Linked DNA regions of Caenorhabditis elegans. The protein of the gene in region 2 interacts with the protein of the main gene of each other region in a pairwise test. Each region holds a gene or a part of one and is shown on either strand. Other genes may lie near its edges. The genes, in order: csn-4, rabn-5, rfl-1 and twnk-1.

The links.
Region 1: the proteins of rabn-5 (region 2) and csn-4 interact in a two-hybrid assay, tested with the Caenorhabditis elegans proteins (one large-scale study listed by BioGRID).
Region 3: the proteins of rabn-5 (region 2) and rfl-1 interact in a two-hybrid assay, tested with the Caenorhabditis elegans proteins (one large-scale study listed by BioGRID).
Region 4: the proteins of rabn-5 (region 2) and twnk-1 interact in a two-hybrid assay, tested with the Caenorhabditis elegans proteins (one large-scale study listed by BioGRID).

The regions. Positions count from the first base shown.
Region 1 is NC_003282.8:1,083,295-1,089,025, reverse strand, and holds the start of csn-4 (COP9 signalosome complex subunit 4), read left to right. Parts: upstream 1-2,012; 5' UTR 2,013-2,018; coding exon 2,019-2,098; intron 2,099-2,716; coding exon 2,717-2,802; intron 2,803-4,257; coding exon 4,258-4,418; intron 4,419-5,731. Other genes in the region: cct-8 (T-complex protein 1 subunit theta), read left to right, coding at 1-92, 1,024-1,214. UniProt on the Caenorhabditis elegans protein: Component of the COP9 signalosome complex (CSN), a complex involved in various cellular and developmental processes.
Region 2 is NC_003281.10:5,862,200-5,867,581, forward strand, and holds rabn-5 (FYVE-type domain-containing protein), read left to right. Parts: upstream 1-2,353; 5' UTR 2,354-2,357; coding exon 2,358-2,408; intron 2,409-2,457; coding exon 2,458-2,559; intron 2,560-2,613; coding exon 2,614-2,820; intron 2,821-2,869; coding exon 2,870-3,603; intron 3,604-3,956; coding exon 3,957-4,107; 3' UTR 4,108-4,340; downstream 4,341-5,382. Other genes in the region: dnpp-1 (Aspartyl aminopeptidase), read right to left, coding at 1-739, 789-1,206, 1,254-1,347, 1,399-1,509; eng-1 (mannosyl-glycoprotein endo-beta-N-acetylglucosaminidase), read right to left, coding at 4,341-4,557, 4,604-4,807, 4,997-5,254, 5,297-5,382.
Region 3 is NC_003281.10:7,019,718-7,024,943, forward strand, and holds rfl-1 (NEDD8-activating enzyme E1 catalytic subunit), read left to right. Parts: upstream 1-2,167; 5' UTR 2,168-2,172; coding exon 2,173-2,355; intron 2,356-2,400; coding exon 2,401-2,483; intron 2,484-2,532; coding exon 2,533-2,613; intron 2,614-2,682; coding exon 2,683-2,791; intron 2,792-2,839; coding exon 2,840-3,101; intron 3,102-3,188; coding exon 3,189-3,390; intron 3,391-3,433; coding exon 3,434-3,610; intron 3,611-3,653; coding exon 3,654-3,849; 3' UTR 3,850-3,935; downstream 3,936-5,226. Other genes in the region: col-8 (Cuticle collagen 8), read right to left, coding at 22-401, 450-882; cyk-1 (WAPL domain-containing protein), read right to left, coding at 4,121-4,288, 4,334-4,755, 4,801-5,226. UniProt on the Caenorhabditis elegans protein: Catalytic subunit of the dimeric rfl-1 (uba-3)-ula-1 E1 enzyme.
Region 4 is NC_003284.9:5,791,367-5,798,467, forward strand, and holds twnk-1 (SF4 helicase domain-containing protein), read left to right. Parts: upstream 1-1,964; coding exon 1,965-2,128; intron 2,129-2,231; exon of another isoform or gene 2,232-2,370; intron 2,371-2,439; exon of another isoform or gene 2,440-2,560; intron 2,561-2,629; coding exon 2,630-2,699; intron 2,700-2,744; coding exon 2,745-3,025; intron 3,026-3,071; coding exon 3,072-3,347; intron 3,348-3,483; coding exon 3,484-3,556; intron 3,557-3,604; coding exon 3,605-3,715; intron 3,716-3,765; coding exon 3,766-3,900; intron 3,901-3,956; coding exon 3,957-4,030; coding exon of another isoform or gene 4,031-4,057; intron 4,058-4,120; coding exon 4,121-4,174; intron 4,175-4,188; exon of another isoform or gene 4,189-4,332; intron 4,333-4,562; coding exon 4,563-4,695; intron 4,696-4,740; coding exon 4,741-4,866; intron 4,867-5,327; coding exon 5,328-5,540; intron 5,541-5,586; coding exon 5,587-5,691; downstream 5,692-7,101. Other genes in the region: F46G11.4 (Inner membrane protein), read right to left, coding at 6,055-6,120, 6,183-6,261.

The DNA.
Region 1 (5,731 bases), on a different chromosome or scaffold from region 2:
CGCTGGAATGCCAACCACTGAAACTCTGACAAAACTCTACGCGGAGCATGTTGCTGGAAAGAAAAACGCTGGAATTGATATCTGGAAGCGGGGTACGGCTTGAAAAAACCCAATGAAAGCACTGAAAATTCGAAGAAAATCGAATTTTCGGTTTAAAATCTGACAATTTAGGTCGAAAAATGACTGGAAAACTTTAATTTTTGACTGAAAATTCAAAATTTTCTGCTGAAATTTACCGAAAACATTTCTAACTGAAAATTTGAATTTTCACCGGAATTCCGCTGTTTCTGCTGAAAATCTAACAATTTCGGCTGAAATTCGCCGAAAACCTAAATTTTCCACTGTAAATCCAATAATTTAGGTCGAAAAATGGCCGAAAAACTTGAATTTTACCTGAAAATGTGCATTTTTGACTGAAAATGTGACCGGAAACATCAATTTTCTTTTGTTTTGCTTCACTTTTTTAAAGTTTTCTTCAGTTTTTGCATTAAAATAACTGATTTTTCACAGCTGGAAACCCTCACAAAACCCGGAATTTTCGCTAAAAATAGGCAATTTTCAGTCAAAAGTCAACTGAAATTCTTCCAAAAAACGTCAAAATTTCCAAAAAAAATCCCCCAATTCCAGACAACACATTCAATTTTTGCTAAAAATTCCAAAAAAAAATATCAGCAAACTGACAGAAAATTTTCAAGTTTTAATCAAAATTGGCCAATTTTCCTTTTGAAAAACCTCAACTTTTCGGTTCAAGCTCAGAAAATTAGCTGAAAATCCGAAATTTTCAACTGAAATTTCTTTAAATCAACTCAAAAATGCAAAAAATTGAATGAAAAAATCGAAAACTCAGCCAAAAATCGGCCATTTTCAACTCTGAAAAATGCCAAATTTTCAGGTAAAAATTCCTCAAAACCCCCCGAAATTTTGGCTAAAAATGTCAATTTCCAGCGCATAAAACTTGTAAATTTTCAATCAAAATTCTGAAAAATCCCGAATTTTAAACTAAAATTCCTTCTTTTTTTTCAGAAACAATGGACGCCGTCGTCAACAACATTTTCGACCTCTACGCTGGAAAACGACTGGCAATTAAGCTCGCCACAGACGCCGCCAGCACAATTCTCAAAGTTGATCAGATTATTATGTCAAAGCAGGCGACTGGAGGACCAAAACCACGTGGACCAAAGGCTCAAGATGAGGATGACGATGGAATGGCCTAATTTTTTTGTGTGCATTTTTGCTGAAAAATTGGGGAAATTTGAGTGAAAATGAGCTGAAAATCGATTTTTCAGCGAAATTTTAGACAATTTTCCCCCACTTTTTCAGATTTTCCCCTCGAATTTCCCCGCCGTTTCCCTGGGAATTGAGCTGAAATTGCAATTATCTTGAAAATTCGCTTAACAGTTTTTAGCTCATTTTCCACCATTTTTCCCCGTATTTTTTAAATTTTCCCGCTCTATATGCCTTCTCCGTATGATTTTTTGCAATTTCCCCGTTTTTATTGATTTTCGCTGGAAAATGAGCTGAAAATTCGATTTTTGCTTAAAAATTAATTTTTTTTTTTTAACGCGAAAATTCAGTTCCAAATTTACTCGATTTTGGTCAAATTTAGCTAAAAATTTGCATTTTTCAGCCAAAATTTTCCAGTTTTTGCCAGAAAATGGGCTTAAAATTGTCATTTTCTTCTGAAAAATCGAACTTTTGCCCCATTTTCAGCCGAATTTCAGCCTTTTTCCTCCAATTCTCCATAATTTTTAATGCTATCCCCCAACCCGTTCTGAATCTGAAAATCACAGTTTATGATCTTAAAATTGCGCCTTAAATTCTATAATTTTCAGCTTTTCCCCCTCGAAATTTTGTTTTTTTTTCTCGTTTTTTGCTTCACGTTGTGTTTGTTATAAAATTCTCCAAAAAAATCACAAAAAATTAGAAATTTTAAAGAAAAAATAGTCGAATTTCCTATATTTTTATCTGAAAATTCCCCCCAAAATTTTGTTGTAAAATTTCCACAATTTCAGCTGAAAATGAGCGGCGAAATTGAACGTTCACAGGAGGTGGCGGTCATTTTTGCACAGGATACCGATCACAAGGCTCAATATGAAGCGTAATATTTTTGGATTTTTGAGAAAATTTGGAGCTAAAAATGTGAAAATCTGGAAATTTTTAGCAAAAAATCCCAAATTTTTGTATTTTTCATTGGAAAATCTGAATTTTGTAAATTTTCAGCTGAAAAAATATGAAAAAAAAAAAACGATTTTAGCTATGTAGAAATTTTGAAAAAAAAACGAATTTTCACGCAAAAACATTTCCTAATTTAAAAAATTAGTAAAATTCGCGAAAAATTGAAATTTTTATCTTTTTTTTCCAGAAAATCTGAAATTTTCAAATTTTTATACTTAAAATCTGAAAAATTCTATTTAAAAACTCAAGTTTTCATTTATTTTCTACGAATTTTGAAATGAAAAATTCTTACAAATCCCGCACTTTTTTCGTTCAAAAATTGGAAAAAAACTAATTATTAGCTAAAAAATTTCCAATTTTTGTATCAAAAAACTCGAAAATTCTCAAATTAAAAAAATTTTTTAATTTTTTTGCTGAAAATCACGCTAAAAATTTCAGCTTTTTCACGTAAAATGTGATTTTCTGAAATTTCATGTAATTTTTTAGCTAAAAAGCCGAAATTTTCTCGATTTTCAGACAAAAAATTCCCCGATTTTTGCAGATTGGCGAAGCTTTGCAACAAATATTTGCCACAAAATGCGATGGGACGAGTCGATACGGCGGAAATTATTAAAATCATTGATACAGGTTGGAACACGACGAAAATTTCGGATTTTTCAGTGGGAATCTGGCTAAAAATTACGAAAAATGATGAGTTTTGGTGAAAAAATGGACGAAAATCGCTCAAAATTGGACAATTTGGTTGGAATCTGGCTGAAAATCGATAAATCTCGATAAAAATTGACGGAAAACGAGAACATTTTCGGAATTCCTGTTGAAATTTAGCTGGAAATAAATAAATTACATTGAAAAAAATTTTTTTTTGAATTTTTGGAGCTGAAAATTGGCAGAAAATCCGATTTTTTCAGGAAAAATCTTTAAAAATTTACATTTTTTTTTACAAAATGGACTCAAAATTAGCTTAAATCGCTCAAAAAAGGCTGAAAATTCCATATTTTAAGTGAAATATTTTAAGTGAAAAATATGGAATTTTCAGCCTTTTTCGAGCGATTTAAGCTAATTTTGAGTCCATTTTGTAAAAAAAAATGTAAATTTTTAAAGATTTTTCCTGAAAAAATCGGATTTTCTGCCAATATTCAGCTCCAAATCCAAAAAAAAAAATTTTTCAATGTAATTTATGAATTTTCACAAAAATCCAATTTTTCGTTCGTTTTCTGCAGTTTTGTTTTTTTTTTTTGAAAAGTTAAAAATTTCCTTTAAAAAACGCGAAATTTCCAATTTTTCACGGTAAATGTGATTTTCAGCCAGTAGTTTTCAACCGTTTTTTCGCGGGAAAAATTGAATTTCTAAAGATTTTCCTCGAACAATTCGATTTTTCCGGTATAAAAAGCGACCTTTTACCGATTTTTCACAGAAAATTCAGATTTTGAGCCTTTTTCACCCTCAGAAGCCAAAAAAAACCCCCAAAAATTGGATTTTTCTTGAAAAATTTGAATTAAGAAACTCAAATTTTCAAACCGTTTTTCCACGGAAAAAGTGCGTTTTTCAACGATTTTTCTCGAAAATTCTCAATGTTCTGCGTTTTTAAGCGATTTTCAGCTGATTTTTCACGAAAAAATCGAGTTTTCAGGGATTTTGATATATTTTTCTTGAAAAAATCGGATTTTCAGCTGTTTTTTCCACGGAAAAAGTGATTATTTAACTTTTTTTCCAGAATAATTGGATTTTCAGCCAATTTTAGGCTTAAAATAGGGCCTTTTAACGAAAAATGTGACTTTTAGGACATTTTTCAATTTTTCGCATAAAATTAAATAAAAATGGAATTTTTTTACCATTTTTTTTTCAAATTTTCAGGTTCAAAATAAAGCTTTAAAAAAGTGGAAATTTCTAGTTTTTAGGCTTAAAATAGGCTTCTTAGACGAAGATTTTCAAGCTTTTCGTTAAAAAAAACAGGAAAAAATTAATATTTGTATAAAAAAATTGAATTATCAGCTAAAAATTACAATTTTTGCACTGTTTCAGTGCAAAATTTGTATTTCTTTTAGAATTTTTAGCAGCCTATAACCCCAAAAATGTTTGCAGTAATCGCATTGGAGACTGGAAGTATGGTTGTATCACGTCAATTTGTATCACTTATCACTGAAAGATTGGATAATCAACATTTGGAATCAGAATGTGTTAAGGCTATTTCAGAAGGAATTTTGGCGATTATTAAGACTCGAACCATCTCTTATGAGGATCAGGTACTTGGAAATGCACTGCAACTTTTTCCTCACGAGGGACGAGGAACAGTGGTTTCTAGGCCATGGCCGAGGGGCCGACAAGTTTCAGCGGCCATTTATCTTGCTTTGTTTTCCGCCTGTTTTCTTTCGTTTTTCACAGCTTTTTCCCGTTTTTTCTTATTAAAACTGATAAATAAATATTTTTTGCAGATGATAAAACAATTTCGAAGTAAAAAAATTATGTATTCAGTGGGCAAGCAGCGGTGAAAGTGGGCATTGTAATATGATGGATTACGGGAATACAAAACCTAAATTTTTTCTGAAACATGATACATATGATGCTTAGATGCTGAAGCTACCTGATTTTCATATCAAGACCGCTGAAAAAGTTTTGAGGTTTCCAAAATTCAACTTTTTGTGCGAAAATCTCGACTTTTTCACCAAAAAAGTTGAATTGTGGAAATCTCAAAACTTTTTCAGCGGTCTCGTTATGAAAATCAGGTAATTTCAGCATCTAAGCATCATATGTATCATGTTTCAGAAAAAGGTTAGGTTTTGTATTCCCGTAATCCATCATATTGCATTGACCACTTTCACCGCTGCTTGCCCACTGAATACATAATTTTTTTACTTGGAAATTGTTTTAGCATCTGCAAAAAATATTGATTTATCAGTTTTAATAAGAAAAAATGGGACAAAGCTGTGAAAAACAAAAGAAAACAGGCGGAAAACAAAGCAAGATAAATGGCCGCTGAAACTTGTCGGCCCCTCGGCCTTGGCCTAGAAACCACTTTTCCTCGTCCCTCGTGAGGACAAAGTTGCAGTGAAATGGAGCATTTTGCAGAAAAAATTGAAAAATTTGAAGAAAAACGAACGATTTTATGGGATTCTGCGGAAAATTTGAAGATATTTGAAAAAAAAAATTCGGAATTTTTGGAGTTTTTTAGCAGAAATTCAAAAAAATTTCGATTTAAAATTCAGGATTTTATGTGATTTTTCGGAAAAATTTTCAATCGTTTTTTTTTTCCGATATTTTGGGCTTTAGGCTCAGGCTCAGGCTTAACCCCTTATTTATCGAGAAAAACGTTATAAAATTGAAGAAAAATTGAAGAAAAAGGGCAAAATTCTGGAAAATATCGAAACTCTTTTCAGTTTAAAAATAAAAAATTATTTCACCTAGAAAAATCTAGAAAAATTGAGTTTTCAATGAAAAATTGTGAAAAATGGAGGGAAAAAAGTAGAATTTGGCGTAAAATTCTAAAAGAAATACAAATTTTGCACTGAAAAAGTGCAAAAATTGTAATTTTTAGCTGATAATTCAATTTTTTTATACA
Region 2 (5,382 bases):
AATCGGTCCAACCGTCGATCCACAAGGAGAATCATTGCGAACGACGACAACTTGAAGAGGAACTTGAGCTTCGAATGCAACTTGCTTGAGAGCAGCGTGTGTGGTTGAAGTTGTTGCATATCGTTGATTGACGTTTACTTTGACGACGACTCCACCATGGAATGCTGGACGATGGTTCTCTTCGTGTTTTGCCGAATAGTTTGGATGCGTGGCATGAGCTTGATCTGCAGAGATGAGCATGCTCTTTCCGATTGCTTCTTCGAAAGCGGTTGTTGAGCCTCCAGCAGAAAGACGGCGGAGAACGAACTCCGTGAAAGAAGAAGATGCTCCCATCGCGGAATCCGATCCTACTTCCTCGTTATCGAAGCATGCGGCAATACGAATTTGTGGGTCATTCTTGAATGACTCTCCAGTTAGAGACTCGAGAAGTCCACTTATCGCAGTGTATGTTCCAACTTGGTTATCAAGACGAGCTCCAGAAATGAATTCATCCTCCATTCCAACAATCGCAGCCTTGTTTGTATCGTAAAGGTAGAGATCCAAATCAACGATGTCTTCTGGCTGACATCCAGCTTCCTTCGCGATTAATCCGAGGAATTGGGGATGATGATTGTTGGTAATGTTTCGTGGATCGGCAAAACCAGTAGACTCGGGTTTCTGTGGTGCATTGATTCCAGCAGCAGCGAAGGTTTCCAGAATCGGGCGGAGCTCAGTTTCCGTGTTTGGTTTGAATGTTGTTCTGAGAAATAAATTGCAAAATTAGGACGATAGTGACAAATTTCAAATACCTGTCGGTCTCCAAATGAATCGCCAAATTTGGAATGAAAAGAACTGGCTTTTTCACGTCGATCAGCTTGTGTTGAAGTTTCTCTCCATTCTTGACAATAACCAATCCAGCCACCGACAAGTCACGGTCAAACCAGGTTCTCCAGATTCCACCTCCGTAAGTTGATACACCAACTTGAAGGAATTTATCAGACTTTTGGTGGGAAATTGGTTTGACACGGAGGCATGGACTGTCAGTGTGTCCCACAACAATCGAGAATCCACTCCCTGGCTTGTAAGATCCTCCAACAGCGAATGCAAGAATTGCAGAGCGGTTCTTGGTGACAAAGTATTTGCTGGTTGGCTGAATGTCCCAGTGACCCGATTCTGGAAGCTCTGTGAAACCGGCTTGTAGAAGGCGATCCTTCACTTCTTGGGTGGCTGCAATTGATATACTTTTGAATATAAAAATAAATAATAAATATTACCATGAAATGGAGTAACTGCTTTATTCAGATAGTTGATGAACTCTTGTGCAGCTTTGCGGATCTCCGGAGCACTTGGTTTCAGAGCAGCGGCCATCTAAATTAAATAAACTTATTTATGAAAAGACAAAGAAAGAATAGTGAAAACCTTTTTGGGTTGATAGCTGGTATTGGGCTCAATTTCATGTTTTGGATAGCAGCCGCACACTACTTTCAATTTTTCGGAAATACGATTTTTTCGAAACGACTTCTTTGTCATGATTCAAACTCAAAATGAATTGAGCCCAATATTTTACTACCATCGGAGTGAAAATGAAAAAAGATAAGACAAAATGTTGCATAAAATTTGAATCTGGAATGATTTTCTATAAGCGATAAACGGTTAGTTTCTACTGGGCGAAAGTTCGAGAGAAGAATATGTGGTGCTGATTATCAAAAATGCGTTATCAGTGATAGTTATCAAGGTTTCTAATAGAAAGAATCAAAAATGAAGGAAAAGATAATGGAGAAGACATGAGAAAAGCGAAAAGATCAGGAATTATTTGAGGAAAGTTAGTGAAAAAAAAATTGACAGGAAAAAAACGTCGGAAAATTTTAGAAATCGAAAAGAAGAAAAGAACAATTTTTAACGTAGAGTAGTACTGTATTCAAGGCGCAACGCTTAAATCATTTTTTGGGTCCTGGAAAGAAAACTACAATAGCTGGAAATGTTCTGAACTTTGAATATAATTATAAATTTTATATATAAAATTTTGTTCATCTTGATTTTTCAGAGCGATATATTGTTTATAAATAGAATGATTTTTACTACAAATTTTTAAATTTTTATGAATAAAAAATAAATTAAACATATAATAACATTTTCATAACTCAACAGAATGAAATATGTTTATTTCACTCCAGAAAACATTTACTTTTCTCTTGGAAGTCGTTTAATGAAATTAATACTAAAACTGCTCGATTATTATGTTTAATGCTCTTTAAATGTGTCACCAAATGGCCTAGGTTTTCAACCTAGTCCTTGCCAACATTGTGATGAGACCTTTTTTATTTAATTAATCAAATGACTCATATATTTTTCGAATAAATCAAGAATTTTCTAGAAAAATGACAGAACCGTCGGCTAGCGAAGAAGTGTCTGCCGGAGTGAATGCAGAGGTAAGAGTGTTGCATTTTAATCGATAATTCAAAGACCCTTAAATTTCAGGAGCCGCCAATACCGTCCAAAAAGATTTCGCAAGTCTCACCGAATCCAACGCTTCAATGCGAAATGTGCCAGAATTATGAAGTGAATTTGACTGCATTACAGGTGAGAATCATGGGAACACGGCAAATATGCAAATGATTTTTGTTTGTTTTGCAGGAAAACGAACGAAAGTTAAAGGAAGAAGTGAAGGCGGCAATGGAGTTGAACGAAAGATATCAATTGGATTTGAGCAATGAACGAGACTATCGAAAAGAATTGGAAAAGAAAATGAACGAATTATCGACTAATTGTTTGAATCAGGTTAACGAGGCGGCAAAGGCAAATGCCAAGTCGGAGCAGCGGCTGGACGAGCTCAGTGCGAAGGTATTTTAAATAAATAAAAAGAATAACTTTTAAAAAAGCTTAATTTCAGCACGACAAATCGATAGAAGTATTCACTGATCAATTGAATTTGGCTCGTGACAAACTGCAACAAGCCGACGATGACTTTGTTACATTAGGAAAAAAGTACAAAAAGCTTCTCGGGTCCACACGAAAATCAGCACAAGAACTTCGGTCCGAGAAAATCGATATGCCAGCTGATCTTGATCAATTACAATTTATTTGTCTCAAGAATAGGGAAGAATTGATAGAAACTCGAGCTGCAAAAGAGCACACCGAGCAGCAGCTGCAGGATGAGATCACCGTCCTGCGAGCTCAGATTCTAGAAGAAAGAGCGCACAGAGAAGATCAGGAAGTGACATTTACTGCAGAGATCAGCAGATTGCAGTCGGAATTAGGAAAGATCAACACTCGAATGGTTGTTGCATCGGAAACAATTGCAGATCAAGATTCGAATATCAGACAAATTAGAGATCTTCAAACAACTGTCGGTGAACTTGAGACGCAGGTTCAGCAGGTTCAAAATGAGAGAGCCGCTGTTGAACAGACGGCACAGAACTACAAGCAACGGTGCACAAGTCTTCAACAAGAACTCGACACATCTGAAGTTGTGCAGAGAGATTTTGTGAAATTATCTCAAAGCCTCCAAATTCAATTGGAGAAGATTCGACAGTCGGAACAAGAAGTACGATGGCAATGGGATGATGATGTAGATCAATGCTCAAATTGTGATACATCGTTTGCTAGAGTTAAAGTTAAACCTCAGTAAGTTTTTGAAAATGGAAGTTTGAATTTCTGATAAAAAATTACAAGAAAATTATTTTCTTCATTTTCAAAAATAAATTTTACACTTTTCCAATTAAAATATGTCAAACAGAAGATTTTAAAAAGAAAAAAAATATATAGTGATTATGAATCAAGCGTTCGGTACCCTTTCTTAAAACGACCTAAAATATTTTTAAAAAAAGGCTTCGAAAAATAAAAAATCACGCATAGTTTTCCAGAAATAGCAGATTTTTATAAGGAAAAATTTTTAAAAAAGTGCGAAAAATAAGAGATAGCACTATTTTACTTTTTCATGGAATATTTCAGTCACTTTTATTTTTCAAATCTTTTAGCTGTCTTCATTGTGGTCGGATATTCTGCATGAACTGCCTGAAAGACACCGTTCCAAGTGGACCAAATCATCGACCAGCCAATGTGTGCAAAGTATGTCACACACTGCTCAATCGGGATACAAAACCATTCTTTGCAACGCAGGATAAGTAATAATTCATCTGGAATGCTTATTCTGTCGCTGATTATCCACAACTCGCCCTTCCAATTTCACTTTCGCCACCTTTTCCCGATTTTATATGTGCATCATCCGTGTGCTAGAATGTCTAGTCTTTTAATTCTTGTACAATGCTTAATCTATTCTATATACGTACATATATACCAGAAATTGATCTAAAATTGTGCATTAAAATTTGTTTTATTGACTTTTATGAAATTAGAATTATTTAATTAGAATCAATGGAAAAGTTTTCGATCACAGTTTCGTCGTTGCTTGATGTCAAGATGCTGATGGATTCCAAATTTCCTGGCTTGTCAATATGCCACGTGGAATCTCCGGTTTTGTCCATAATTTCAGATCTATTCAGAAGCAGGTCAATTGAATTGGAAGTAGTGCAAGTTATGGTCAGGGTACTGTAGTTGACAGAATCGAAAGTGAATAGTCTGGAAAAAATTATAATGAGTAAATTTTTGTATGTTCATAACTTACAGAAATTTTCGATTTCTGCCAAAAAGAGTGAGTCCTGTAGAGTCAATTACTTGGTGGCAGAAGGAGCTTAAAATTTGAGGCTGAAGCTGCACTGTGCTCAGGCGGTAGTGCCAATTTTGATCCATTCCAGTACAGAAGTTGGTGCCAAAGTTTATAGAAGTTAGAGGACGAGTTCGGATGTGTGGAAGAAGTTTGGACCAGAAGCTGGAATTAAATTAAAATTTCAATAAAACTTAAATTGTGGAATTTTTCTGAAAAAAATCCTAATGTAGAATTTTCTAGTTGGAAATAAATTAAATTTCAAAAATTATGTTTTTTATAAATTTATATTTTTATCGGGGTACTGTAGTCTTTTTTTTCTGATTTTTCAATTTTATTTTCAAAAAACCTTACTGAATTCCTTTGCAAATTTGATTTTCCTCAGGAAACTTTTCATAAATCCATCCGGGTGCAAAAAGAGCAACTGACATGTGAAAAAGTTTTGCCAATGCAAATGACTGATCACAATGAAATTCTCCAACACAACCACGAGCCCATACATCAATTCCAACAAAGATCCGATCAAGAACTCCAAATTCAGCCGATCGAAGAAGTTCTTTATCTTTCCAGTTGTAGTTGAGATAGATGGCGTCACAAGCATCGTAGAATTTTCTTAAAAATATTAATATTTCAGTACAGTTCTAATATTCTAACCGATTCATCTCATTCAATTCATTTTGCCAATGCAACTTTCCATTATCAAGTACCGAATCATACCATATCACTTTCGAATTTTCATT
Region 3 (5,226 bases), 1.2 Mb from region 2:
TATGAAATATCATAAACAAACCTCTCCGCATGTTCCACTCTTTCCTGGAATTCCTGGTCTTCCTGGAACTCCTGGATGTCCAACTGGTCCTTGATTTCCATCTTCTCCAGCTCCTCCTGGATTTCCTTCTGGTCCTGGTGGTCCACGGGGTCCTGGTGGTCCGGCTCTTCCGGCTTGTCCTGGACGATACTCAGTTCCTGGCTCTCCGCGTGGTCCTGGTGGCCCTGGACGTCCAGCTGCCCCTGGTCGACCGGCGTCTCCCTGCTCTCCTGGTCCTCCTTGTCCTCCTGTTGGTCCTGGTGGTCCGTGTCTTCCTTGATCTCCAGCTGGTCCTGCTGGTCCGACAAGTCCTGATGGTCCTCGTGGTCCTGGACGTCCTGGTGGGCACTTAATACATCCTCCTAGAAATTACTCAATTTAAAAACAAGTCTATAACACAGTAAAGATACCTGGAATATCGTGAGTAATTGCAACAATAACTCCTGGTGCACCAGGCTTTCCATCATCTCCATCATGTCCTGGCTCTCCACTTTGTCCACCCTCTCCAGGTGGCCCTGGTGGTCCTGCTGGGCATCCCTCAGACTTTGGTCCACAGTTACATTGTTCTGGATAAGCTTGACGGGCCTTACGTGTTCCGAAAAGAGTCTCGAATGTTGGTGGATGAGATTCGATTGTTTCTTCGTCGACGCCACCTGGATAAGTGTGTTTTGTGACGATCCTTTGCCAGGTGTCTTTAGTAATGGCGCGGAATTCAAACATCTCGTCATCGAAATCAGATTGAAGTTGTTTGATGTCAGTAAGAAGACCCATCATGGTGTAAAGTGCCACGAAGACACATACAAGCATGGAGGCGGACCCCGCCCAGATGAGTGTATTACTCATTCTGAAAATTGATGCGATGTGTCTCAAAATCATGCGGAATTAAAAATAAGTTATTTTCTTGAATCACCGTGGCGGGACCCACTTTAAAATTTCAGTGGGTCTCGTAACGCTCAAACCGATTTTAGCGGACTTCTCAAAATAATAGAATAAAACAGATGAAGACGAGTTATACAAATTATATATTTCTAGATAAATCAACAAATAAATAAAACTAAAAACCAAAAATTAACTTTCTTTGCGTGTATCCAATGGTTTAAGTAGTCATCCTTATCAGATCGTCACGTCCTGAACCACTCAATAATTTTCAATTTTCCGTTTACTTCTCCGAATGGTTCCGCCTGTTTTCCGATCACTTTTCGACGACGTCAAACCAGTTAGCATTTCTCTGAAACTCTCCAGTAACCAGTATCTTTGTCTGTTGCTATCGAACATCAAATTGTGTGGCAATCGTTTTTTTTTCTGGAAATACTTCTCTCGCCTATCTGTTACCCTCTTTCAGGTATCAGGGGCGGAAAAGAAAGTGAAAGTTTGCAGAAATTCAGTAAATGAGGGTTCTATATTAGTTTTAAGGGAATTTGAGAGTAATTGGAACTTCAGTTTGCAGTCTTCAATCTTTAAGAGCTACCGTAACCCTATTTCAGTGAAGAGTCTACTGATACCGTTGCGGGCCCATTAAATACTTAATCCAAAAATTAATTAATACTTTGTCGACGCTCCTTTGATTAGACGATGTATTTTTGCTATTCAACTTCCCTGATTGAGAATGCTATCGATTAGAGAGCCAAATGGCAGTAATCCCCGAGAGATTGTCTGTCATCACTGCTGCGTTTAGAGACACAGGTGAGCAGAACAGTACGATACTCCGCTATTCCGAAACGCGCGTTGTTCACCGTAAATCGACATTAATTTGGCTGGAATTGTTTTAAAATTAGAAATTGTTTTATTGTTGTTTTATTCTTTAATTTTCACCTCTCGTTATTATTTCATTAAATTATAGTTTTACATCGTTCGTTTTGAAGCGAGATTATATTTTTAATGGAATAAACCTAAAATGTTGTTTATAAATAATTCTTATGAAATTCAAAGAATTGTCATTTTTTGAACAATAGTGCGAATTATTATTAATTAAACAACAAAATTTATACTTTAAACGTTCCAATTTTTTCCTTGTAATAAAAAATAAAATGCGACACTAAATAAGTATTAGGAACTGTAAACATGCTTTACAATGTATAATCTATTTTGTTTACACCACAAGGAAAATTAAATATTCAACACTTTTAAGCAAAGATGGTCAGCGTGGATCCATTGGCAACGGAGCGTTGGAGGAGCATCAGAAGATTAACAGATCGCGACTCTGCATATAAAGTTCCATGGTTTGTTCCCGGACCGGAAAACTTTGAAGCACTGCAAAACACGAAGATTCTTGTTATTGGTGCTGGTGGATTGGGTTGTGAGTTGTTAAAGAACTTGGTTAGTTAGAATTCAAAAAAAACATTAAAAATAATGCATTTTCAGGCTTTGAGCGGATTCCGAACAATTGAAGTTATCGATATGGACACAATTGATGTATCAAACCTAAATCGTCAATTCTTATTTAGGTATTAAAAAATTATTATTAAATTCGTTCTGTCAAAAAAAAACTTTCAGGGAATCTGACGTTGGAAAATCAAAAGCTGAGGTAGCTGCTGCTTTCGTTCAACAAAGAGTTGTTGGATGTCAGGTGACTGCGTAAGTGTTGTGGTTTGATAGTCTTTCCAAACAAATTCAGAATTATTTTAATTTTATTTCAATTTTCAGGCACAACTGTAGAATTGAAGACAAGGGTCAAGAATTTTATCGAAAATTCTCTATAATTATCTGTGGACTTGATTCGATTCCAGCCAGAAGATGGATCAACGGAATGCTGGTAAAATTCTTTCTAGCTCAAAATATAAATTAATTTATCGAATTGCAGTGTGATTTGGTTTTGGAAATGGCCGACGGAAAACCTGATGAGAACACAATTATTCCAATGATTGACGGAGGAACTGAAGGATTTAAAGGAAATGCTCGTGTCATATATCCGAAATTCACAGCCTGTATTGATTGTACTCTTGATCTTTATCCACCTCAAGTCAATTTTCCATTGTGCACAATTGCTCACACTCCTCGACTTCCAGAACATTGTATTGAATACATTAAAGTAGTTGTTTGGCCAGAGGAAAAACCATTTGAAGGTAAAAATTTACAGAAAAATCGGTGAAACGAACTTTAATTTTAGTGTTATTTTTAAAGTTTTTTCTGGAAAAAAGTTATATTTCCAGGTGTTTCTCTTGACGCTGACGATCCGATCCACGTTGAATGGGTTCTCGAAAGAGCAAGTCTTCGTGCAGAAAAATACAATATTCGAGGTGTGGATCGTCGTTTGACATCTGGAGTTCTAAAAAGAATTATTCCGGCTGTTGCATCAACAAATGCAGTTATCGCTGCATCATGTGCCCTAGAAGCTCTGAAATTGGCCACAAAGTATGTAAGATCACATATTAAAACTCTCAATATTCAATTTCAGCATTGCCAAACCAATCGATAATTATCTTAATTTCACTCAAATTCACGGAGCATATACCAGTGTTGTTTCAATGATGAAAGATGACAATTGTCTCACTTGTAGTGGTGGGCGTCTTCCATTCGAAGTTTCACCATCTTCAACTCTTGAATCGCTTATCATCAGACTCTCGGAGCGTTTGTACGTTCTCCGTTTGTTTTAGAAAACAAATTTCAAATTTCAGCCATCTCAAACATCCGACACTAGCGACCTCAACTCGAAAACTTTACTGTATTAGCAGTTTCATGCCACAATTTGAACAAGAAAGCAAAGAAAATCTGCATACTTCGATGAAAGATCTTGTTAGCGATGGCGAAGAAATACTGGTATCCGACGAAGCATTGTCTCGTGCACTTACACTACGAATTCAGCTCATCTAATGCATTTCTTCTATTTCACTTTTGAATGTCTCGGGTAAAGTATGCCTGTGTTCCATGTCAATAAAAATAAAATCGTTTTTAAACTCAAAATATTTACCTAAAGAAAATAGAAAGGAAAAGTGAACTGATGAAAATACAACGAGCAATTGAAATGGAACGAGAAGAGGGACCCTGTGAATGACAATTAAAGTATGAAAAATGTGGCAATAATACAGAAAAAATAGAGACGGAGAATGACTAGATCTATAGATAAGACAACCGATGTGAGCTTTCAGAAATCATTAAGACGTGCGAGAAGATCGTCTGTTGATGGCACCACTGTGCCTGATGATGATGATGTAGCCGTGTTTGATGATGCAGGACCAGATGAAGTTGACGAGGAACCCGTCGGATCGTTTTCTTTGTGCGTTGGTGAGATTTGCGATGTTCCATTGATATTCTGAAAGTTAAATTTCGAAAAGTTTCCACATATAAAATATGTTACCGTAACTGGAACAGCTGGTTGCCCTTTCCTTCTCACTCGAACTTTGAGCTCATTCTGACCAATCGGCAATCCAACTCCAAATGCTTTAGCCCTATCAAGCGCCGTTGTTGGTTTTACTGATGATGGAAGTTCCATATTTTGTCGTTGCAGATCATTTTGAGGAACGTTGCGTGATCGAGCAAACTGTCCGGAAAGAACCGGTTCCGATGCGCAGCCAGTGAGATCTTGAAGCTGACCCAAAGCATTCTGATGTCGTGATCTTTGCCGATCAAGTCCTCCTCCAAGTCTTCCACCTCCGCGAGTTCGAGCTGGCAATCCGGAACGAGGAGTTCGAGAATTTGTGGCAGACATCAAGGTTTGAAGGAAATCAGCATTTCCTGTAGCACGCTCCAACTCATCGAGCACACCAGCCTTATCGGCAGCTGAAAAAATTATATTAAAAAACAATTTCAAAAATATCAACTCACCAGTCGAAACTCGAATCATCGCAGCCGGAGTTCTTGGCACTCTATTAATCGCCTGTCTCTCTTGTAACGGCTTCCTTTCTTGTTGAGATTGTTGCAGCTGCTTCCGCTTCTGTGTCTCAAATTCTGCTTCTTTTCGTTTTGCTTCTGCTTCGGCATCCAACTCTTTCCAAGCATTCGAATATTGCTCAGAGAAGGTGCGAATATCGGCGAAAAATTCTTCCATCGGATATTTTTTGTCGTTAAATGCATAATACTTGACCAACGACTCCCAATCGTTTTTCATCTTTCCACACATTGACGAAACTGTGGAGAACTCTTTGACAGCTTTTTCGTGGAACGGCCGCATCTTCTCGTCGAATAAATCACGTTCTCCTTGAATTTTGTACACTTTTAAGCAGTTCTCCAGTTTTTTAATGTTATTCTCTG
Region 4 (7,101 bases), on a different chromosome or scaffold from region 2:
AAAAAGAGAAGGAGGAGGAGGAAGACGGAATGTATACTTTTGAGATGATGGATATACATTGTGGGATGGAGTATAAAAATTGTTTGGTACGTGCAATCATAGCTGGGCTCCGTCCCTGCTCAAACGATTGTACATTTCCTTCCGTCTCGAAAGGTGTATCTGTCGACAATACAAGTAATTGAGCTTCCTTCTCTTATCCCATTCGACCCCACCCCCATCATTCCGTCCTATGAGACATTTTCTTGTCTTAGTCTTTAGACGACAACTGGCAACTATTCCCTAGTTTTTTTTTCCAATTTTAGATCTCCTTGAAACATCTTTTTTTATTTTTTCCAGGTACCTTGTCAAAAACCATTAGCAAACTGCAGCTCAAAACCATGGAAGACGAAGTAAGTCTTAGAAATGGTACTGTATTTTTCAAATTTTTTTCAGCTCGACTCGGATCTCTACGATCGTGTGAGCTATTTGAATTTGATGGACAAAATCGATACTCGGAAGAAGACATCGAAAGTGGGAAAGTTCCGCGATGAGTAAGTCCAGTTTTTGTCATGTTTTCCAGAAACATGCACATAAGTGACTTCCGGGAGAAGAAGTCTTTTTTGTTTGCTTAATAGTGTGCCAAGCAGTTGTCATATTCGGTTTTCATGGAAGTTTCGGTTTTCACGTTTTTTAATGATGTTGTGCTGTTTTTATATTCATTGGTTGATAGTTTCTGATTTTGAAATTTTGTTTGAAAATTTCCAAAATGTGAATCTGTAACTGTGAGGAAGTATAATTTTAATTTGTATTCCCCCAGAATATACTTTTTCAAAAAATACTGTTGCCTCAGAAAATAGCCAAACCTAACAAAAGTAAACCGGTTCACTTCGTTCCAAAAAAAATTTATTTTTCGTAATATCTAAAGATATATAAGACGAGAAGAGGAGAAAAACAATGAAAGCACTTGGGGCACCTCGATTTAGTGAGCCACCAAAAATCCAGGAAGCCTTTAACGCTGCCCCAACATAAAAGCGAGTCTGAACGAGGAGGTTGAGGAGGAGAAGCAGCACACAAAAAAGTCGAAGATAGCTTTCTATTTAAGAGCATTTTTGCTCCACCAAACCTTCACTCAACCATAGGATTATTGCTCGAAAAAGTGAGGTGTACGGCGTCGGTGCCCCCGCCAACCTTTTTTCTCTCTCGCCCCGTTGCTCCGAACCACCCCGATTAACCCGAGGTCAATTTCACTTGCACTTGAATTGATTCGATCCGAACTCTGATTCAAGTTGCAACTTACTTGTCTATTTCATTTGCTGGTTTTTTCAAATCTATTACTGTACAATGCATCGCTCAAAGTCCCGACCGGTATCTAGGATGTCAAAAAAATCGTATTTATATTCAAGCTCAGACGAAGATAATGGGTATCCAGTCGGTATGTCTTTAAGCATTCTATTTGCGTTTCCCTTGTGCTAATATGCTTTTAAAAAATTTGGAAACGGATGCAGTTTTTTTGTTGGAAAACACCTGAAATTTTCCCGAATTACTAGTTCCGCCACCATGTTTTTATTTTTACACCGCGCAGACTTGTCGAATCTAACAACTTTTGCCAAAACGTCTCTAGCCAGCAATTGTGAGGGCTCCTGCCAAATAAGCTGTGTAATTGTCGAATATCATAAAGAATGGGGGCCAAAGGACGAGCACAATAGCATTTTTTAGGGTGGGGGGAACTATTATTGTTTGCGGGGTGCCTCTCCTGCGCATTTTTCTGTTTTGTACCCATCGTGACTGGTTTGTAAACATCAGAACCTTTCACTTCTGGCACTTTTTCCGGCTGCTCAAGTTCCTGGCACCCCATTCATTCAGCTTTTCCCCCACTTCTAATAATATCGCGTCGAATTCTAGAAAATCAGTTCCATCAAGCACCATCCTCGTCCAGTAGTGGATTTTTACCACCATTGAACTCTAAAGCAGTGTCATGGATTGATATGGATGACTATACAATTCTGCCAAGCCCCGACGAAGCTCCATTTGATCACAGCGACGACGAATATTTCACCGGAAGACGACTACGGCAGAGAAAAGCACCCCGGACGGGAAGATCGGTGACAGCGTCTGAATCGATGAATCAGATTGCAGACTTTGATTTCAGGTTTAGAAAGTGTTGAGTGTTGCATCCTGTGCTTATGTTAATCTTATTTAATTTCACATACGCTTTTTTTGAATATTGATGAAATCGTTTTTACCGAGCTCAAGCAAAATTGAATGCAAAATTGAATCTTAATTTTGAAGGCTCTAAAAGAGGGTGTTAACTTATAAGATGGATTTCAAAAAGCAAATTCCATCGTAAAAGTTTTTTGAACATTTTGCAAAAGAGTTGATATTAGGATTATTGCTGTAAGTTGCATATCTCTCGCTTTTTGTTCATTATTTAGATATAATTGCAGTTACCAATCTTAGTTTAGCCATATTTTTAGATCGTTTGAGCCCCCCTCGAAATATTTGAAAAGTATTCAAAAGGTCTTATTACGTAATTTGACACTTGGATTCATTTTCAGTCGAGTATCTTCGATATGAACTTTAATTGAAATATGAACATAATTTTTGACTGAGCTCAATTTAACATAAATAAATTCATTTGGTTCGTTTTCAGTTCTGACGCGCCTTCTCCAAGACTTGACGCTTCAGAAGCCATGAGTGCTCCTCCAGATCCGGATATCAAGGTTCGAATTTTTTTTCACTCCCAAAAAAGCTTTTTCCGTTTTCAGCGCTACTGGGACAGCAGTTTAGACATAACTGATCTGAGTGGCCACGATTTCACTATTTTCAAGCAACTCCAAGGGATGCTTGGAATTGAGAACATTTCATTCGAAACTCTTGCTCGTTTCAACGTTCGTGTCCAAACCGACACCTATGGTCAACCTGCCATTCTTTTTCCACGGTATCGTGGAATGACTTCCCGGCTACGCATTCCAATGGGTTTGAAGTTGATCCGTAAAGTTGGAGACAGAATGGAAAAGGAGAACTATCCACTGCCAGATGAAACTTCGTAAGTAGAAATTCCGATGTCTTCCTTCATAGTTACCCATTTCCAGCGTTCGCCAAAAGTTCAATGGAGTTTTCGGGCTTCATATGGCAACTCTGTCAGATCGAAGTGTAGTCATTACCACAAATGAGCGTGATGCTTTGGCGATCTACGAAGCCACCAAAGCTCTGGTATTTGCTCTACCACATGGAGAAATTTTGGATCCACTCGTGCTTCCGTATCTGGAGGAATTTGACAAGATCTATCTGTGGTTCCCGGTTCAGCATGTCAGTTATGCCAAAGACTGGGGAAGTGCTTTGAACACCCTCAAATGTCTTCTTGTGAAGTGAGTTTATGGTATTCAGTAGGACTATCATGGAAGGCGCGGATTGCGGCGTAAGACAGGTGGCGTTCCGGAGCCTGCTTGGAAGCCCTAGTATATAGAGAACGTTCGGAAAACAAAACCAAAAGAGTAAGTTCAGAAACGAAGAACGCCCAATTGAATTGGTTCGTAATGGTGATCATCGGCTCATTCGGAACTCACTATCTAACTCGGTACTGTTGCCATTTTGTTCTTGTTTTTTTTCAACTTTCATAGTTTAGGTGGTTCGAATGAGAGAGCGTGGTTTCCGTTCAATGACAGATTTAGACATGCGTGAAGGAATCCGTTCAGACCTTCTCAACTCGACAAATCGCGTTGTTGGATTTGGACAAGTAAGACGAAAGGAAAAAAGATAAATTTCGGTCTAAATAATTTGTTTCAGTGGAAACGATTTGCTGTTTTGAATAAGTATCTTGGCGGGCTTCGGCCAGGGGAGATGACAGTTTTAACCGGAGGAACCGGCAACGGAAAAACTACATTTTTATGTGAATACTCATTGGATCTATTTACTCAAGGGGTATTTTAAATTTTAGCATTAGCTGAGTTTTTCTAATATCTCTGGTTTAATTCTAGGTGCGCACGCTGTTCTGCAGTTTCGAGATGCCTGAAAAGAAGATCCTCCATTGGATGCTTGTGCAATACGCTGGGTATGATGATCTAGTGTTTTTTCTATTGTTATTCTATTTTATTTTTCAATGGCTTGCAACTTTTTAACTAACATTTGTTTTTGTCTGCAGTCCTTCACATCTTCGAAGCCTCGCGCGCACTAACTCATATAAAAATGGCATCAAGTAAGAATATTTAGAAGTATTAGGATCTATCTGGAATAGTTTTTGTTTTTTCTAAATTGGTTTTTGAATATAATAAGTGAATCAAAAACTATTTCAATAATTTCCTTATGAAACCAGTAGCCAACTAGACCTGTTATTTATTTTATTTTACCACCTCACAGTTTTGAGTTGTAGAACATCTTCATTTCTCATTCACTGCTCATTTTGGTTACTAGCTAGTGCTTTTCGTGGTGCGCGAGGCAATTGTCGATTATCTTGAAAGTGTGTTTTTGCACGGTAGTTTGTTCAAGGAAACGGAAATGGGTATGTGGATGAGTGTTGGCATGCTTATTCTGATTGTGCCCAGACATCCGTAGCCCATACACAACTCCCAATCAATCTGGTTCAGACTTCCGCTGCATCGAGTAGAGTATAGCAACTCGATAAATTCATGGTTGGATAGATTCGAGAGATCGAGTTCGGCGTTGACAATGCTTGACTCCGAAGAGTTCATGGAGAAGTCCATAAATGAAATAGTCAGAGTAATAATAGTGGAGCAGGGTTTGAATCATAAAATACCATTTTAGGCAATTCGTATTCACGTTGAAAACAGTGGTATCCAACATGTTGTCATCGATAATCTCCAGTTTTTGATTAACCAAGGAATGATGGCAGATGAGAAGTCAAGTGGCCTTGATAGATTCCACCTTCAGGTTATTTCTTTTTACATCAACTTACAGTTTTGGTTCATAAACTAACATTACAAGAAATGGGAACATTTGGTTTAGTAGGAGAAAAACTACAGTGCGCCCAATTGCTGGGACCCCCCTTCCATTTGAGCGGTTTAGGGCATTTTGGAACTTTTTAATAGGAAAATAATATGGGAATCGGATTCAGCATTACAAAAAACCTCTGTGTCAACAATTGTATTCGGATATCCCAAAAATTGGGAGCAAAATGGCAAAAAGTTGAAAAATCGACCGCCCAACTGCTATCAAGAGGGTGTTTTTCTGGACCTCGTAAATATTATGACACTTCTCCAAAAAAACATTAACCAGTTTGTTGAGTATCATTACAAAATTTGTTCATATTTTGAAAATATATGTACATGCAAAAACCCAAAACCCTTAGTCCTCCTCTAAACATATAAATCTTCTTGAACCTTCGTTTTCAGGATCGATTTGTCGGATACATGCGTCAACTTGCTACTCAGAATCAAATTCACATCACTATGGTTGTTCATCCCAGAAAAACTGACGGTGATACTGAAATTGATGTGCAACACTTTGGAGGTTCCGCCAGAGTCACCCAGGAAGCTGATAATGTCATTGCTATTCAGCGGAAGCGTGATGATCGTGACCGTTCCAAGTTCCGAAAATTCTTATACGTAAGCTTCTAGTAGAATGATATGACCATCCAGGATTCTATTACAGATTCTGAAAAACCGCTACTATGGCCGACGAGTGGAGAGCGATCAACTTGAGATGGTTTTCAACCCATCCACCTATTCTCATACAGTTGTAGAGTTTCCAAAGTAAAATTTTCTTCTTAATCAAATTAATTTTACAATTTCTCCAAGTTTTTCGAGTGTCATTATTCAGTTCTATTTTTTAAATATATTTTTCTGCTTTTTCCTTTCTCCCTATTACGCTGATACTTGATGAAGAAATATACCTTTTCTCCTGACCCATTTCATCCACCTTCTCCCTCCGTAGGTCACATATTATTCTGACGTCTTTCCCTATTTTGTCCGATCTCGAAAACACTACCGCGAAAACACAAAGCTTCTGTAGTTTGCAAATAAATAAATTTTTCATTACTCGACGATGAGAATAAAAAAATGTTGAATGAAAGCGAAATTGGAAATCAAGAATCGAAAACAAAAAATTAATCAAAATTTGTCACATGTTTTTTCGTGGAGGTGCAGGATGAGGCGGAGCAGATGTGGGAAGTATCCGAATTTGTGGCTGTAATTTTTTTTTGTAAAAAATTAAAGGTTTTCTTTTAAATATTAACAACTTGCACTTACAATTGGAACATAATCACAGACGGTTTCATTGTTATCATGACCAACGGCAAATACTGTCAGCCCGAGAAGAATTACTATTCTGGAAAAAAAAAACATTTGAATATTTGAACAGCTCTAGAAAAACGACAAGAAGCTTGAATAAGTGGCAATTCTGACGAAGATATGTGCTAAGCCGTTACATAATTCATTGAGTTTGCGTGTGTTTAGTTTTGAGAAGCTGTCAAAAAGCGTTTTCAGGAAACAAATTTATTCAAAAAATGGGCGTTGGCAATTTATTTTTGGCTGGAAAAATTTCAAAAAATGGAAAATTTCGAGTTTTCAATGTTTGAAGTTATATGGAATTTGTTAAAAAGCGCTTTTGTGGGGAAAAATTTTAACAAAACGTTTAAAAAATTGTCTGTATTTTTAAAAAATTTACTGTCAAAAAAAAAGTGGTTTGAAAATTTGGCAAATTACCAAAACTCTGAAAACTTGTAGAGATGTTGCTTTATCATCATATCATCGTTATGATAATTTTGGGGCAATTTGAATAGGTATTTATTTTTAATATTAGAACATCATATTATGAGCCATTCTCCAAGAAATTTCTAGTTTTCAAAAGGACATTATTCTTGACCAGAGCGATTAAACAGTTAATTTGCGAAACTGTGTGTATTTGTAAAAAATACAAAGTTACACAGTTTTTTTTTTTAATTTTGAAAATGGTTTTGACAATTTTCTGAAAATTGTATCAGCTTCAAAAAGTTATTCAACAAAGATCAATTAACACACAATGACAAGGAATGGGGTTTATCTCACGAAAGTTAGCTCAAATTTAAAAGCACTTTTACAACCCTTCAGAGTAGCGAAAAATACATTGAAAAATATTCATTTTTTTGGTTCATTTTTCTTGTTCAAAATTTTTCATTTGCTGCTGAAT